Kluyveromyces lactis: one gene and its partner. The protein of the gene in region 2 purifies or fractionates together with the protein of the main gene of each other region. This does not show direct contact. Links are inferred from orthologs where the notes say so. Each region holds a gene or a part of one and is shown on either strand. Other genes may lie near its edges.

Region 1 (3,213 bases), about 180 kb from region 2:
TTAACTCAGCCCTAATACTCAACTCATACTCAGTTGTCCGTCGGACTTTTTCATGGTAACTGATAGTCTCATGAGCCACTCGTCATGCGCAGCTTCTGCCTATTCCAATTTCACTAAATATTGTCACGTGACCCTCTTTGATCCATCTAGGCCTTCCCTTCTGGATACCACAGGATCCATATGCCCAGTCACTGACGTCTTGGAACTCTGCCGTGTGCTGGCTAGCTCACATGACCCTTCGTCTGGCCTGTCTTCAGTCTATCTTACGAAAACTACAACAAAGTAGCATCGGTGGTTTAGTGGTAAAATCCAACGTTGCCATCGTTGGGCCCCGGGTTCGATTCCCGGCCGATGCATTCTTTTTTCATGTGTCAAAAACATGTATGTTGTTTTCCTCTTCTTCCCGGCGAGTGTTGTGAGCTAAGAGTAATTTCTCATATAATATAGTGATTGTCATTATTTAATGATATGTATATAAGGCTTAAACTTTAAGCAAATATTCAAACTTATATACACTCTTCGTTGGATATTATCCGTTAGTATTTTTTTAATTTCATGAACCTTAAAATCAACTTCCTTGGCTATTCACTGCAAGTTCCATAATCAGCCTGGTTGCTAAATGTAGAAAGGGGTATGCACTGAACGTACTCATTTCATCGTCGTTCCGACTTGAATACACTACACCGTTACTGGACTCCCAGCCATCAAATTTGAAATCCACTAAGTAGTTATTTGTCTCAATTTGGAACAATTGGATTACCATCTTCATTAAATCTGGAATCTGCTTGTTCTTCATTTCGTCATCAGGCATATCGATATTATATCTCCAACGGACTCTAATAGTCCATAGGTCCTCTTCTGATGGTTTCGCCCATTCGGCTCCCAAGTTTTTCAATGCAATGTATATTTCTCCCATAACGTCTAATGGATAGGATCTTGATCGTATACCGAAATGCCACCTTGTTTTTGATTTTTTCACGCTTAATGGTGAAATCTTAGCAGCAGCCTGGGACCCTTGTGCTACCATGTTGGCTCTATGGATCTGTGGTAACGAGCTAGGTAAAATTGCAATCGTGCTGTCTCCATCCTGAGAACCATTTCCATAATGATATTGATATGTACGTTGCTGTGTTCTCTTTGAATGGCGGTGTGAGTGTCGATTTTTTGAGCCCGGGGGGGCATGCAAGGATTGTTCGAAAGTGGGTGGAGATTGCGATAAGAAAGTATCCAAGTCATTAGATTGTTGCTTGTTCACCTTGATGTCGTTGATTAAATTTCTGTTCTCTTTAATTAACTGATAGGCATCCCTGATTTCATTTAAAGATGGATGATCTTCATCGGACTCTAAAGCCTCATATATCTCATCTACGTCATAACCCATAGTGTTTGATAGCGTTTGAACTAACGAATCATCGATCAGTTCGAGTGGCACGGATGGGCCGCCATCTTCTGTTTTGCTTTCAGAGTTTTCTTGATGGGTGCTTTCAGCAGGAACTAGGTAGTCGGGTAAATCAACTTTGAACCATTCATCCTGCATGATTTCATGCACGGTAATTCTATTAACTGGATTGACGATGAGCATCTTTTTGATTAAGCTCGCAGCACCTTGGGAAAGGAAGTTAGGTATGGTGTAAACACCATTGCTAATGTTCTTAAACAACACTGGGATACTTTCGTCATCGAATGGTAACCTACGACACAACATGACGTATAAGATAACCCCTGAAGACCAAACGTCAACCTCTGGACCTGCATATAGTTTACCGCTGATGACTTCTGGGGCCGCATAATTTGGAGAACCACATGAAGTCTTCAAAAAGTTACCATCTGTCATTATATTAGATAAACCAAAATCAGCAATCTTAACGTTCAAATGTTCGTCTAATAGTAAATTCTCTGGTTTCAAATCTCTATGCACAATTTTATGACGGTGACAATAATCTACTGCGCTAATAATCTGTTGGAAAAATCTTCTTGCTTCTTGTTCAGGCATCTTGTCTCTTTGGACAATATAATCAAATAATTCATTACCAGCATACTCAATCACCATGATAATTTCGTCCTTCGATTTGATCACGTCATACAATTTGATAATGTGTGGATGTCTCAACAAACGTAAGTACGAAATCTCTCTCTCGATTCTACCTTGCATATCACTCTTGGCTAGAACCTTCTTATTGATGATTTTTAATGCCACTTTTTGTCCCGTAGAGATATGGTACGCCAGTTTCACTTTACCAAATGATCCTTCACCCAAGGTCTTGATGATTTGATACTTACCGATATGTTGGCCTTGTGCGTGGTTAGTCAGCTGGCGTTGGTGATGGCCTTGACCTGAGCCACCATGCGGCTGTTGTTGATTTGGGTCGTGCGACATATCTTCTCTGATGAGTATGTACTCGTAAATGCTTCACTAAGAGTTTGCGTTCAACAGAGGGATATCTTGTTTACTCTGAGAATAGTTGCTTCTAATTGAGAAGTTGACTAACTTGTTAGAAAACTTGCAATTCTTATACTAGTGTGACGTTTCTGGAGTCTCACAAAACCCAATTCTATCCGCCCTACAATTACGCATTGATCCTTCTTTTATTGTTGATGTTCCGTATATGACAAGTTTTCAATTTTATCATCAAAATGTAAACGGCGTAGAAATCGTTGATGATGACTGATACCTTATGTAGGAGACCGTACTGGGACGAGTCCGGCGAATTGACCATTTTCAGTCACCAATCCTGTCACGTTTTACGAGAGGATTCAGACAATTCACGAATCCATTCTTCACTACGTCAATATGCTATGACACTACATTAAAGTACATCACCACTCGATAAGTGGCTATTATATACGAACCAAGATGTATATATTACATCTTTAATCTTCCCCAATTACTCTTTTATAATTAGGAATAACGTTAATATCGTATTTTCCTCATTATAAACTGGTGATTCCAAAATTCTGCTATCTATGTATTAGTTTCAATCACTACTGTCACTGGAGTAAATATCGATGACTGCGGCAGGATCGTAGAATGATTGTTGGCTAAAATTTGAATGCTCCATATCGTCCTCGTCATCCGTCCAAGAGTCCGTTGCAATATGTTCAGTCACAGGCATCTTTGAGCCCAAATTGAAACACATCAAGCGATTCCTTACTATCATTGTGCTTTTTAAATTGGAACTAGCAAGAGAAAATCTATCATCTAAAACACGCTTA
Region 2 (3,323 bases):
GGTTTCGCACCACAATACTGTTACGTTCAAATTAACGGTTTCAATTCTTTTAACGAGTTTCCGATGTCTTTCTTTTTGAAGTAGAGGACATATCTTTTTCGAATGGATAATTACGAACTCCTCATTCCTGAAGAAACTTAAATTACATGGATCACGAATACAAAGACAAAATAACCAAATTTTCAGTCTTAAAAGACTTAATAAAACTTTCAGAATTATCCCTCTTATATTGAGCATGTTCGAACTTTTTTCTTTTGTCTCCCTTTTATCATCGATCAATAAAACGCTTATTCTACTTTGGTTTTTTCCTTTTACTATAATGTTTTTCAACCAATTTTCACTTTCAAATTTTTTTACACTACCTTTTCTTGTATAAATCCATCCTCCCACGTAATCTAATTAATCAACTTATAATAACACACCGTCCATCTGAATTGTTGCGAAATTCAATAAATTATCTTTATCAGATTAATTATAGTCTGATTGGTCTGTTATTTATCAAGAGTAAAGGCAGCATTGTAATTAAGTAGCCCAATAAACAAGACTCAATAATCATAATGTCATTTATTTTCTAATGAACACAGAACTACTTACATTATACTACAATTGTGGGAAGTGGACTTTTTCCGCTGTCTTGCTCTAACTTTGGCAAGATTTTTCTTGATCTTTATTGCCTCCTCATCTATATTACTATTCAGTGTCTGCAATAACACAGGCATTGGCTGAGACTTGATTCTGTTCATGAAATTCCCTCTGGAGTCCCTTGATACCGTGTTTTGCACAGTTTCCATACTTTTTTTGGTATTGGACCTATTTAAGGCCCACGCACCAATACTTTCCACCGTTCTGATGGACCTATGACCTGCTGTAGCCGCAGTTGCTGGCGAGTACAGTCCGATGACTGGTTCATCCGCAATGGAGTCATTTGAATTTCCTGTGTAACATTCAATCGAGTTATCAGAACTTAATTCACTCATTGAATCATCAACTTCATGTGGACTATACATATTTCCATTAGTCAGAGTATTATTGACTGTAATCAGATGTTGTAAAGATAGCTCCGTGTTATCGTCGACAGAATCCTTAACGTGGATCATAGAGTAAAACAGAATTTTGGGTAAAAATTTACTGAAGTCCAAAATATCGTATAACGACAACATTTGTAAATTGCCTAAATTAAAATCCGTATCGTATAAGAGCCAATCATCATTTATGTCAGCATTACTTCTATCGTTTTCGCTTTGTCTTATGCCAGTAAAGATTTGTTCTGTTTCCTTGTTGGTTATAAGAATTGACTGTAACACTAACCTAAATGTGCCGAAATTGTCAGATATAGAAATGCTAGGTGGAATCGAGATATCTTTGCTTTTCATATCGTCAGCGGATTCGACGTCATGATGATGATCATCATCATCTTCATCTTCTTCATCTTCGTCTATTGCCCTTGTCACAGTTTGGACCAAAGCTTCTCCACGGTAAGATTCCAGATCATCGCCATGTGTCACTATTGATACCTGAGACTCTGCAGGTGAGCCAATATTATTTCCTGGACTGATCCTTACAATCCGTTGAGTGGTCTTAGTGATTGGTTTTACCATGACCTCGGGATGCTTGAAATTGAGAACAATGGAATGAGATTCAGTGTCAAACGTATCACCCGTCAATATACTATAGCTGTCGCTAGAATCACTATCTCGACGGGGACTATCATCCTCCATTTCCTGCCCGCAGTTTTCCGCCGAATCGGTAGCATCCTTGCTGCTGTTCCCGCTAATGCTTACATCTTTCTTCATCTCTAAGAACCATTCATCATTGAAATTGGTCAATTTGTCCTGTATTAGATAATGGTTTTCATGTTTGTAAACAGTCCCACGAGTTAATTTATCAATGACAATATTAGTGTGGTCATCTTTCAAATGGAAATATTCGCTTAAAAACTCTTCTAATACTTTAATATCCTGGTGAATCTCATCCGGAATTGAAACCAAGAGTAATTTTTTGTTTAATGGTCCGGTCGCTTGAAACTGATCTCTGAGAAACCGTTTCAAAAGTCCATGCTTCAACTCGTTACCAGTCAATTCTTCAAACTCTCCGTTTCGTAAATTGCTCAAATACCATGACCATAACCCATTGTAATCATTTTCATAGTAATCTTTCACCTGAACACTGGTAGGCATCCTCCTTTCTTCTATTTCTGCTGTAAGCGGTATATATTTATTGATCTCACTTTTCACAAATTCCTTTAACAACACAAGTGCCAAAATAAAGAGGGGGTATGGTATTATGATGTGTTATAATTAAGAATATAGTCTTCTCAAAAATAATGCAGGGTGTGTGTGGATGTTGTCAGTACATGAATCCAAAAAAAAAGCCTGTATTGTAGCCCTAGATAATGCTTCGCTCCAGAGTATACTTTGCTCTTGCGCCTAGGATTGATGCAAACCAAATATCAAATAAATTAATTAAATAGATTGGTAACGCAGGGACCTCACTTGTAGTCAAAACCTCTGTGTTATTTCTCTCACGTTTCCTCTTTTCCGTCAGACGTGTTTTCAGCTAGCTGTAACCCCAAAGAATATCCCAGATAGCACCCGCTGAAACTTAACTGCAGGATATATATATGTATTCACACACGCAGAATAGCGATTAGAACCCCAGGTTAAACAAAAGGATCGTCTTCCTGATGGAATCATATGGTTTCGTGTTTTTATCCAAAAGTGCTGTTTTTTTTATAGTACTAACCATTTTGTTTCCGAGCCGTTTTTTTTTTTTTGGACAAACGTGTGGAAATCCTCGAATAGACCTCATCACATAGGTACCGTAGTATTGGGAAAAGAGCGAGATTATAAGCCGATTGATTTATAAGTGGAGGTTAAGGAAAATGTGTCACGAGAGCATGGGACAGAAAGAATCACACTATTAATCGGGGAGCAGCAGTAGTTCTTTGTGTTTTTTTTTCTTGCAATGAAGTTAGCGATTGTTTGTAATGGGTCTTTTGTGTATTGAGATATGGAAATGCGATAGAAGACTGTTTAGGTTTACGTACCGGTACTTAACTATTTTCTATTTTGGTGGGGTATAGAAATCATTAAACCAATTTTCGTAGGAAGAGTCGTCTACTTTGTTCACGAATTGTTTCTCTACCATTTCCGTCCATGGTCCAACGAAATCTAAACCAATTTCATTATTATCGTTAAACCAATCGACAAGTTGAGGAGGAAGATACCCTCCAGAACTGTTTGGCCCAGTATTTATGGCAGAAGCGGGGTTAGTATCTGGCGCTGGTTCTGGTACTGGCGCTGGAGGTGCACTGTTAATGCTAG

What was found. The genes of interacting proteins can lie anywhere in the genome.
Region 1: the proteins of GIS4 (region 2) and SNF1 purify together in Saccharomyces cerevisiae (affinity purification with mass spectrometry; 3 studies listed by BioGRID, with this or other methods). This does not show direct contact. The link is inferred for Kluyveromyces lactis from reciprocal best matches to the Saccharomyces cerevisiae genes GIS4 and SNF1.

The regions. Positions count from the first base shown.
Region 1 is NC_006037.1:338,239-341,451, forward strand, and holds SNF1 (AMP-activated serine/threonine-protein kinase catalytic subunit SNF1), read right to left. Parts: upstream 2,378-3,213; coding exon 569-2,377; downstream 1-568. UniProt on the Saccharomyces cerevisiae protein: Serine/threonine protein kinase essential for release from glucose repression.
Region 2 is NC_006037.1:156,626-159,948, forward strand, and holds GIS4 (Gis4p), read right to left. Parts: upstream 2,178-3,323; coding exon 591-2,177; downstream 1-590. Other genes in the region: ARO80 (Aro80p), read right to left, coding at 3,064-3,323.